3 linked regions of the Mus musculus genome follow. The protein of the gene in region 3 interacts with the protein of the main gene of each other region in a pairwise test. Links are inferred from orthologs where the notes say so. Each region holds a gene or a part of one and is shown on either strand. Other genes may lie near its edges.

Region 1 (4,229 bases), on a different chromosome or scaffold from region 3:
CCAGCACTCAGGGTGGATGCAAGAGGATCAGGGGTTTGAGATCATCTTTGTCTTCATAGCTAGTCTGAGATCAGCAGAACTGCACGAGACTCTGTCTCAAGGCAAAAGGAACTGAAGAGAACTCAGTTATCTTCCGGGGATGCTCAGGACTCAGAGGTAGCTGGGATGTGGTTAAAGGTTGGGACCACTTCCAACTGTGTTACCCTGCAAGTTATTTAACCTCGCTCGGTAGGCCTCAATTTCCTCTAAGCAAAATGGGGTTGATAACCACTCCATCAGCTCTTGAGAAGATTAAAGATACCAAATCAAGGACTGTACTTAGAGGACCTCCAAACATAGTAGTTAGCTACAATTATTATAAAACCCACGCTGATTCTCTTAGTCTCTGAAGACACCAGTGTGTTTGTTTGTTTGTTTGTTTTAATTTTTGGGTTATTGAAATTCTGATTGAGATAGAGTCTCAATATGTATAGCCACAGTTCGCCTGGAACTGCTACTTAGACCACACTGCCTTGCAAGGATCCTCCTGCCTCTGTCTCCCAATGAAAGTTTGAGGGCCAGCCTGGTCTACACAGCTGAGTTCCAGGCCAGCCTGAGCAACATAATAAGATTCTCACTCAAATAAAACAGAACAACAGCGACAAAACAAACAAATTAAAAACAACATCAACAACAAAACAAACAAAAAACTCAGCACTCAGGAGGCAGGAGGACCTCTGTGAGTCTGAGGCCAGCCCGGTCTATAAAGTGAGCTCCAGGACAGCCAGGACTGTTACTTAGAAAAACCCTGTCTTGAAAAACCAAAAAGAAAAAAAGGGGGCTGGGGGGAGACTTCCACAACTGAAAAGCTCTGCTATAGAATATCTCAGTGCTCTCTCTCTCTCTCTCTCTCTCTCTCACACACACACACACACACACACACACACACACACACACACACATACACACGGCTCATAACAAGTGTTCTACAGAAGGTAAAACTAGACACTGCCTACCAGTCTTCCTGTTGGGCAACTAGGAAAAATGTTACTTATGGCTGGAAACATTCAAGTGCCTCAATTCTATCACTCTGTATTAAGTTCAAACTAAAAAAAAAAAAAAAAAAAAAAAAAAAAAAACATTTTAAAAGTGATTTTGGGTGTATGTATATGGAGGGGTATTCATGGCACGGCTTGAGTATGGAGGTCAGCAGACAACTTGGACAAGTTGGTTCCCTTCCTGGGATGAAACTCAGGTGGCCAGACTGGTTGGCAGGAGCCTTTACCCCTTAGCCACCTCCGCTGGCCGTAAGCTCAAACTTTTATGTCTAACTTATTGCCTCAGTTTTAAGTCGGATGCTATAAAATAGCTCCAGTTTATTTTCTTCTTTCAGTTTAAAAATAAAAGAGGTTGGGGGGGGATATGAAAACTTTTTTTTCTTTTTTTCTTTTTTTTGGCAACAACGCCCAAGGTTCAAAAGATCTGAGAAATTTAAAAAGCTCCAAACTCTATAGACATTGAGAGGTAAGTGGACGGTGGTCTCTCTTTCCCCTCCCGGGGTACAACTACCCCATTTCCCCCCTCAGACACAAGAAGTGGACCCAGGGGTCTCAGAAACAAGAGGTGGTGTAAAGTCCCCTGGGGTGAAAAGGCTTTCTTCCGAGCAAGGTCCATTTATAGAACACACAGGCCCTCCCTATCTCTTCCATCTTTCCTACTCACAGAACACGACAGGGGACCTGCCTCTGGCTGAAGTCAACTCAGATCTTCAAAGTAGAACTCGGAGAGCCAGAGTAGAAGAAATCTACCGGCCCGGCATCCGCAGTGGGATCCGAGGAGTTGTACTCTCAGAAACAGATTTTACATACAGATGAACTGATGACTACACACCCCGAGCCTCACAACTTGATTCAGTCCGATCAATACAGCATGCATAAAAGCCTGAGGTAAAACTGGATAGTGGCTTTTTGTTGATAACTGCGGTGGAATTTTGGCCATCTGCCCTGGTCAGACCAGACAAATAAGGCAGGCGGTCTGCTTATTAGCTGTCAGGCATATTTTGGAGGGTGAAAGCAAAACCTCAAATCAGGAGTCTGAGTATCACTGGACAGCTTATGCCGGCACGCAAAGCTCTGACAATCCAAGCGCCTCAATTCCTACCCCAGGCTGCGCGTCCCCGTTCCTCCAAACCCCCGGGCCATTTTACAAGTTGGACCACACTTCACATTTCTTACGGTCCTTCCCATCACTCAGACCCCTTTGGCCCAGCCTCTGAGGCCAACAGCTGGGGCTGCTGAGAGCCAAGTTAGAGGCACCGTTGAGCGAGATGCTGGGAAGTGTAGGGAGAGTCAATACTAAAGTAAGGCGACCAGAGCCACCCTTCACACCCCCACCTTGGCGTTCCCACACTTGGCAAAAACCAAGCGACTTCCAAGTGCTTCCCCTATCCAGGAGCACCCTTCCGTCAGTCCCCTTTCAACTCCCTTTAGCCTCCCTTGTGACCCCTGATGGTGCTCACTGAGACCGTCCCCTCAGCCGCAGGAATCTGCAGTTCCCCAGAGTGCACCCCGACCCCTATGCCAGTGGAGATGCCCAGGTAGATCCCGAACCTCCCTGGGACCCGCCTAGTTCCCTACCCCAAAATGATTCCGATCGCAGCCACCTTGCCTAATTCCTTCCCGAGTCTGCAAGTCCCACTCCCTTCCAAGCCTCTCTTGCACCCTGCATCACTCCAAGTGCCCCAGGGATGCCCCAGGGTTCTCGAATCTCACCTGAGTCCGCTCGAAGCTCTCGCGCTCCGCAGCCTCCATCCCAGCACCAACTCCGCGGCGGCTCAACACTTTGGGCAGCGGGTTGGATACCTGCTTCATGGAGCTGGCCATTCGGTCCATGTTGTCTGGGTGAACAGAGTCAGGGGCCCTCGGCCGCCCCGGGATCCCCGCGGAGCCTCCCGCCCCTCCCTACCCGCGGGGATCCGGCGCTAACGGGGACAGATTCCGTCTTCCATTGGTTGACAGCGCTGTCCATCTCCCTCAGAACCCACCCCATGTTTCCAAGAGGCTTTTCCCCACACCCCTCTTCCCACTTCGGAGGCGCTCCGCTCACTTCACCCGCTGCCCGCCTCAGGGCGGTCCGCATACTATGACTGGTCTGAAGGTTTGTCCATTATCATTAGTGGGCAGGACCTGGTGGGCTGCTGTCCTAACCTGCCCCCTAGGCTCCGCCCCATAATCGATGCACCGCCTTCCAGGCCTCTACATGCACTGTCATTGGTCTGAAGACTTATCTGTCAACAGGCTGGCTTGATGGGCTGCCCTAACCTTTTCTTGTTGGCTCCACCCTACATCCGTCACTCTTCCTTTGTTCCCACCCCCCAGGACCATAAAAGCACTATGATTGCTCTGAAGGCTTGTCCGTCATGCTAGTGGGTGGGGCCTGGCTGCCACAGACCAGCCCTTGCTGACTCCACCCTACTTCGAAGCGCCACCTCCTGGGCCCTTCTCTGCTGCGGGTTTCTGAGCAGTAGGACCTGCGGTCCAGCCGGCGCCACGAGTTCCCGAGGGGATGGAAAGGCAGATCAAGGGAAGCATGGCTGCACACCATGCTTCACCGGCTTGCTGGGGAACTCTGCGTCAGTGTGGACCCGCGATGGCGGCCTTAGTGGTCCTCGAAGTCCCCTCCTCGTGCATTCCTTTCTGCCCGTTCTGGAGGACCGTTCTGGAGGGTCCCCAAATACTGGCCTGTGATTGCGAGGATCTCCCCAGAGCTTTCCAAACTTTGCTTCGTTCTCACCTTATCTCGGTAGAAACCCCAACAGATGCTCTTTGTTCAACTATGGTAGGGTCCACTCCTCCCATCCTGTTCTGGGAGCACCTACAGACTGGGAAGTGCTCCTCAGCAAAGAAAAAAGTTACAGGTTCTTCACTAACAGAACTAGTGGCACCGTTAAGCATTAAGCAATTTGATGGTGCTATCCATCTAGCTCTGCAATAGAAGCCAGTACAAGTCTCACTTGTACTAGGCAATGTTTTAATTAATGACAATATCAAACTCACTATGTCGCTGAGTCCCTTGAATCCCTGAGCCTCTTGCCTCTTCCATTCAACTGTTAGGATTATAGGCGTGGGCCTCTAGGCTTGACTTTCCTTTAACGTTTTACACACATTTTGTACCTGTGTGTATGTGTGGGACTGTGTTCATACGGCAGCACTCTGTGGAGGTCAGAAAGCAAATTAGATTCTGTTCTCTAC
Region 2 (3,647 bases), on a different chromosome or scaffold from region 3:
GGACCCAAGCATGGCTTTGGACTGCTTTGACCAAGGGTCTCACTGCCTAGTCTAATCTTCAAGAAAACAGTAAAAGAATATGGTATTATCCGACAAAAAGTCAAAAGCATGCGTACTCCTTATCCTCATCTGAGCATACTTTGTATCTTCAGACGATGACACACAGATACACAAAAAGGGTAAAGCATACCTGTCATCCAAAACAGTAATGAGCTCACCATGTTTAAAGGTGAGCTCGTTGTCCTCAACAGCTTCAAAGTCGTATAAAGCTCTGACTCTCCGTGCAGCCTTGTTATTGAGCTGACTCTCTGCGGGTGGGTACAAAGCCTTTGTCTCCGTGTACTGCTGCTTCTGCTCTTGCAACGATAACTCAATAGCTAGTCGGGAAAATTAAAATGTAAAGATAACAGAATTAATTTTAACATCTAAAAGCTTTTTAAAAAACATTAGATAACAATATTCTATTTAAGGATAAGTCAAGCATGTGTTTCCTTGTGTTCCGAGACAGGGTCTCGAGTAGCCTGGAGCTCCCTGAGTAGCTGAGACCACCTCTCACCCCTATCTCAGCCTCTCACTGTGTTGGGACCTGAGGTACATGCCAGTAAGCCTGTCCAAACAAAAACTAAATGGTTAAATCCAGGCGGGGACGGGGACACATGACATTTTTAAAATAACATTTTTGCTCATCCCTTATTACCATCACAGTCTGTAATATACAGCAATTATTTTTATAGCAAACAGATTGTGACATTATAATATGGGTAGCTTTCCATATAGGACATTATGAACATACTTCTGTGCTTGAGTCATAACTTTGGCATTATGAAAAGGTGAAATGTAATCTCCCCAAAGGTAGAACATTAAATATATATTACTAAAAAATCAAATGAATTAGGTTCATCTTATGTCAGGTCTTTGCTTTTCCTGACTTTTAAGACCCTACAGCTTTTAGATCCGAGGTAGAATTAAAAGCCTACTCGTGGGTCTTCTAATTATTCTTTCAGTAAAACCTCCTGGTGAGACTATTTTCAGCAGCACCAAATGATGCTTGGCCACTTACCTTTAGCTATGTCCTCATCTTCTTTGTTTTTGTTCAATGATGTCCCGTTTTTGGCAGCAGCCGCGACAGTCTGTAAGCGTATGAATAAAATGAGCACAACTATTCTTTCAAAGGAAGCACAAGCTGTATAATTATATGTAGATGCTAATTAAAAAATACTGCTAACTCAACTCCATTTAAAAAGTGAGGTTCTTCATGATCATTTAAGTAGCTGTTCTGAAATACTAACACTAAACAACAGTTTTCAAGAAAACATAAACACATGAAAGGTACACGCTGACTAATATTTTACATAAATCTAAGTATCTGACATAGAACTTGGCATAAAGAAAGAAATGCAATTTTTACAGAATGAACAGAACTTGAGTCTCCGCTGCTGAAGGTCTTTTATGCAGAAGAGGCACTCACAAGCTACTGGCTCAGAGCTCAGACAGAAAGAAAGCACATCTCCTGGGGTACACCTCAAGTCCTTGGCTGCTCACTACAGCAAGACCCTCTGCAGTTTGATGGCCCTTGGACAGGTATGCAGAGCTCTGAGCCATCAACAGTCCTTTAACACTCATTTCTGAGAATGGCAAGCAGAAATGACAGATAGGCTGCTCTTTATTACTTATTAGAAGGTTGCACACACATGTACACAAACACACGCACACACATGAGTACAAGTAAACAAAACTCCTATCCCTTGCTAGCTCTTGTATAAGTACCTTCAGCCATGGTCTGAATAAACCTCTCACCTGGGAGCCTGCGGAAGGAAAAGTAACCCCTTCTTCTTTCATAGACTTAATAGTTGCAGATATCAGACTAAATTGGGGGTCCTTCTGGAATTCTTCTGACCATTCCACCATTAGAGATTTTAGTTTTTCACATACTTTAGGATGAGCCTTTTAGGGAAGTGGTAAAGAAAAGGGAACAAAAACAAAACAAAACAAACAAAATCCTGAGTTAAAGTAAATAAAAGGGCATGGTGCCAAGTCTGGCATCCCGAGTTTGACCCCCAGAACCATACAGTTACGAGAAAAGGTGACTCCCACAAGCTGTCCTCTGACCTCCACACACGCACTGTGTCATGTGTGTGTGCGCGCATGTACATATATACACTCACAAAAAATGAAAACAAATTAAATTGATTAACAGAGAATCACCACCAAAAGCTAAAGAGAGACACAGGGCAGGCATCTCCAGAGTAGCCCAGTAACTGACACATGCTTAGCTTATTCACATTGACAGGTACAGCTGCTTCATGAAAAAATAAAGTAAATAAATAAATAAATAAATATCACCCTTCCAGAATACTTATTGCTCAAATGACTAGAAATAGTTTATATCAATGGCTATTTGCTCTGTTTTCTTAATATTCTCATCATGAGATTAGGATTTTCGCATCAACTTCAACAGCTGCATGAGAATGCTGCTTCAGAGTTTGTGTTTCAAAGAAAACAGAGGGGCCTCCACGCTGCTCTAATATAAAGACCTCGAAACACGAAGTCTAGTGGGAGTCAATATAGAAAAATGGAAATGTCTGGAGTCAAGACTCACAGACACCTAGACCCGAGTAAGTCATAGACAGCCAGATACCCCTATCAGCCAAGCCACTTTCTCGCTGTGTGACCTTGGCAAAGCCAAGCTTCAAGAGTGGTTGTTAAAAATAAACAAGGCAGTCTACATAAAATGGTCAAAGCAATGACCAGACCTCAACCAAGATGAGTTCTTACCATAATATATATACACACACAATTATATATATATATATACACACACAATTATATATATACACACACACACAATTATATATATATATACACACACAATTATATATATATATACACACAATTATATATATATATATATACACACACAATTATATATATATATACACACACACAATTATATATATATATACACACACAATTATATATATACATATACACACACAATTATATATATATACACACACATATATATACATATACACACACAATTATATATATATATACACACACAATTATATATATATATACACACAATTATATATATACATATACACACACAATTATATATATATATATACACACACAATTATATATATACATATACACACACAATTATATATATATATACACACACAATTATATATATATATATATATACACACAATTATATATATACATATACACACACAATTATATATATACATATACACACACAATTATATATATACATATACACACACAATTATATATATATATATATACACACACAATTATATATATATATATACACACACAATTATATATATACATATACACACACAGTTATATATATACATATACACACACAGTTATATATATACATATACACACACAATTATATATATATATATACACACACAATTATATATATACATATACACACACAGTTATATATATACATATACACACACAGTTATATATATACATATACACACACAATTATATATATATATATACACACACAATTATATATATATATATATACACACACAGTTATATATATACATATACACACACAGTTATATATATATATATACACACACAATTATATATAT
Region 3 (4,094 bases):
GCCAAAAAGATTGAGCAAAGCCGGGTGTGGTGGCACACGCCTTTAATCCCAGCACTCGGGAGGCAGAGGCAGGCGGATTTCTGAGTTCGAGGCCAGCCTGGTCTACAAAGTGAGCTCCAGGACAGCCAGGGCTATACAGAGAAACCCTGTCTCGAAAAAACAAACAAACAAACAAAAAACAACAACAACAACAACAAAAAAGATTGAGCAAAAAGACTGGCTTCAGCCCCACCATCTGTGTACAAACAAATTGTGTTTCAATGTCTTTGTTCTAATGTGTCTTTTGTTGAAGGCATTTTGGATGTGAGTCTTAGGATGTTGAGACAGGGGCCATACCTTCTTGTCTACAAACTTAACAAAATAACACACAATTCTCAAAGACCTGTAGTCAAGTGACACTCTCAGTGAGTCTAATGCTGTCATCACTATCCAGACTGAAATGCTCAACAATAAAACAAAGTTATGAGGACCCCAGAAGCAGCACTTGACCTCAAACTCCAATTCCACAGTGGGTAAACACCACTCAAGTTCAGAGCCAGCCATGGGTGGCCAAATGGCAGAGACCGACACACAGAGCAGGGTCTGTTTACCTGTGGATATAAGCCACCTGGTTCCCGGGGCCATTTTCATGGCAGCAGAAAGCCAAAACAAACAAAATACAAATGACTGGTGCCAAGACTCCAGGGCTTCCTCCTACTTTCCACCCTCACCAGAGCTTCAGGGAAATTTGCAGGAAAACTTGAAGTGGGGGGAGGGGTTCTGCCCATTCTCACTTCAGCGTGAGGCCGACATCAGTAGGAATGACTGGGTTAAATGGAAGGCAGGAAAGCAGGAACTGCCTATGGCCAGCCCCTTCCACTCAGCAGGTTTTGCTCTTACTGTGTTCCATCCTGCACTTGTCTACACCTCTGCTGCAGCTCTGCTGAGACCTTTCTGCTTATGTGCAGTGTGCTCAGACCTCAGCTTTCCCATACAACTTTCCCTGTCTAGGAACATCTCCCAATTGCCTAAGCTGGGATTCTGAGCTAAGCTCTGAACTTTTCAACAGCACGCCTGCTTTTCGCCCATAGCATAAGCCACTTAGGGCCAGGAGCCATTTTTTCAGCATTTTCAAAGGACAAGGGGTAGCCCTTTCCCCTCCTACGGCCAGGCCATAAAAGTATTGATGGACAAAGGAATGTATCCGCCAAAGGAAGGGAGCTACTATCTAGGGAGTCTAGTATCTTAGAGACTCAAGACACTGGGTGGATCTGATACCAATCACTGTGTCACTTGATTCAGTAAACTATCATAAGGATATTTTTTCAGGCAGGAATAAAACCATTCATTATTAATGCCTTTAGTGGAATAGGAAGGAGGACAATGGGCCTCTCCCACAGTAAGTAGATCTACAACAAATATTTCTGAGCTGGCCTGAACACCTTTAGAAGGCAGAACAAGGATTGGCTGAGAAGATGAAGTATGGGTGTTATTCTAGGTCAGGCAAGGCAAGCGACACACCCTCTGGATCCTGATCCAACTGATAAAGCCAATCGCTGGAGGAATTAGTGATACCACTCAGCTCCTTTCTCTCTGCATTAGTTCTACTTTAAAAGAGCCAATCTGAGAAGGCTGGAGCGGAGGGCAGAAGAGGAGGCAAGCACCTAGTGGTAGAAATGATTTTCCTTCAAAGGACTCCAATATGGAGTCCAGGAGTCCCTGAACCAGCTTCAGCTCACTCAGGGGAGGACGGTTTAATTCAGAAAAGGCTGGAGGAGCGGCTCAGTGGCACAACCCTGTAATTTCAACACTGTGGAGGCAGAAAAGTCCAGGACCAGCCTCAGCTACATATGGAGTTGGGATGCTAGCCTGGACTATCTAAGACCGTCTCAAAACAGCAAAAAGGGGATGAGCTTAGAGAGCCCCGTGACTTCCACAAACTATTTCCCAATGACTACCGCTCAGTCCAACAGAGAATGACATCAGCTTCACTCTCCGGAAGCACAAACCCGACAAAGTATTAGGTAGGGAATGTCCAAACGACCCTTTCTAAAACACACCCATGCTCTCCTCACCTCTTCCTCTTAAACCTCAACGGAAAGCTGGGGGCACGATACCGAATGACGATCAAAAGCACCGTCTAGACCCACACGGACCTGGAAACCACTGGGAAGTAAGAACTGGGCTGGCAGGACAGGCGGGGGTCACGTCCTCCTTCGCCTGGGCTCTAGACTCCGCGATCCTGAAGTTCCCCTGCTCTCCGATACGCTCGCACCGGTCTGGGAACCCGTGTGAAACTCACAGGGATAAGAGCAAAAGACGCGTGGGCCCGGAACAGCTAAAGAGCATCTGGAAAGTTACTCTACTTTTTCTCTATTCGCTTTTGCTTTCAGAGTACACACAGGGGCGTTCTCCAAATCGCAACTTAGATACTAAAGGTTACTAGAGAAAGTCGCGCCTTTTCCTATAAGCCCGAGGGGCATCATTTGGTGAGGTTCGGACGGAAGCTGGGTAGTCCGAGACTGAGAACCAAACACAACCGCACTGCTGGGACCCCTCGCCCTCAATCCCGCCCAGAGCGCGCCACCCCGGGTCCCACGACATCCCTGCTCGCCCCCCAAGGAGAGCGCGGTGCCCCGGGACTCTAGGCAGGTGGCAAAGCCCGACCCTCGCCTCTGTTGCCGCCCCGTGCCCAGCGCCCCGAATCTGGTGTTCCCCACCGGGCACCCAGCAGGGCCGCACTCACCGCTGCCCGCGCCGCCAGTCGAGCCGGGAGGTCTGCTCTGGCCGCGCGCGCGGGCCGGGAGGGCTCCGGGGAGGCAGGGCGAGCCGGGGGCGGAGATGTTTCGGGGCGTGGCTTGCTGGAAAGGGCCAGATGGGGTGGGGTCTAGGAGGGGAGGAGTAACAGCCTTGAGGCAGGAGGAGTAGGGATGAAGCTACGACCTGAGTGGGCTGGCGAGAGGCGGGGCGCGCGGAGGCGGGGCCAAAAGGTCGGGCGGGAGGCGGACTCTGGAGCCGCGAGGCCTGGGAGAGGGAGGGGAGAGATTATTCTTTGTTTCTAACAGCCACAACTACACCTCCACCAAAGTCAAGGCATAAAGACAACCTACAGAATGGGAGACAACATTTGTATGTTATGTAGCTGATGAAAGTTTATAATTTGAATAAAATTATATGATGAACAGTACTGAGGGTAGAGGCGTATATTCAAGATCGGCCTGATCTAAAACAGTTCCAGGCAAGCTAAGGCTTTATAGTGAGACCAGTCTCAAAAAAACAAAAACTAGCCAGACTGCAGTTCAGCTGTTAGAGGGCTAACATTAGCATGCATGAAAACAGGGTTCATACCCAGCGGCCCATAAATGAGTATAGTGCCACAAGCCCAGCACATTTTACGGCTGAACAGTTTCTCAAAAAAAATGTGGCTAATCTGAGAGACATAGGAAGTTTGAAGCCAACCTCAGATACACAATGAGACCCTGTCTCAACTCATCCCACACATACAAAAAAAAAAAAACATTCTTACAACGTACATGTGTGGGGGGGGTGGGGGGGTGCACGCACACGTGAGCGCACACAAGCTCACAGTAGTGTTTCACTGTGTAGCCCCACCCGGCCTTGAATTCACAGAGATCTGCTTGCTTCTGTCTCCTTAGTGCTGAGGCTAAAAGTGTATGTTACCATGCATGGCTTACATTTTATCCCCTTGCTTTAATGTGAGCACAGTAGCAGACAGAAAAGGCTGCAGGAAGAAAAGGTTTATTTTGGGTCACAGTGTGAGAGGGTTTCAGTCCATCTCCGTGGGAAAGATTTGGCAAAGCTGTTGAGATTATGGCAGCTGAAGCTATGCCGATGCTACTCACATTACAGTAGACCAGGCTGGAGAAGAGGGAGTGATCAGAGACAAGGAATAGAGTTAACCTTCAATGGCCACCCTTAGCAGATAGGCCCTGCCTCCTAAATCCTCCTCTGTAATTTCGGTGCTGGGATGGGAGAGATAGGAAGATCCCTGTTGTTTGCTGGCAGCCAGACTACAGAACTGGAGAGCCTTGGTTCAATTGAGATTCTATACCAAAAAGTATAATGGAGCACACCTGGCAAAGGAAATACCATAT

What was found.
Region 1: the proteins of Litaf (region 3) and Hip1 interact in binary tests that used the Homo sapiens proteins (3 or more experiments, as listed by UniProt). The link is inferred for Mus musculus from reciprocal best matches to the Homo sapiens genes LITAF and HIP1.
Region 2: the proteins of Litaf (region 3) and Stam2 interact in a two-hybrid assay, tested with the Homo sapiens proteins (4 studies listed by BioGRID and IntAct). The two-hybrid records come from large-scale screens. The link is inferred for Mus musculus from reciprocal best matches to the Homo sapiens genes LITAF and STAM2.

The regions. Positions count from the first base shown.
Region 1 is NC_000071.6:135,542,187-135,546,415, forward strand, and holds the start of Hip1 (huntingtin-interacting protein 1), read right to left. Parts: upstream 2,937-4,229; 5' UTR 2,871-2,936; coding exon 2,751-2,870; intron 1-2,750. UniProt on the Homo sapiens protein: Plays a role in clathrin-mediated endocytosis and trafficking. Involved in regulating AMPA receptor trafficking in the central nervous system in an NMDA-dependent manner. Regulates presynaptic nerve terminal activity.
Region 2 is NC_000068.7:52,714,628-52,718,274, forward strand, and holds part of Stam2 (signal transducing adapter molecule 2), read right to left. Parts: intron 1,945-3,647; coding exon 1,798-1,944; intron 1,131-1,797; coding exon 1,061-1,130; intron 378-1,060; coding exon 191-377; intron 1-190.
Region 3 is NC_000082.6:10,990,321-10,994,414, forward strand, and holds the start of Litaf (lipopolysaccharide-induced tumor necrosis factor-alpha factor homolog), read right to left. Parts: upstream 2,802-4,094; 5' UTR 2,726-2,801; intron 1-2,725.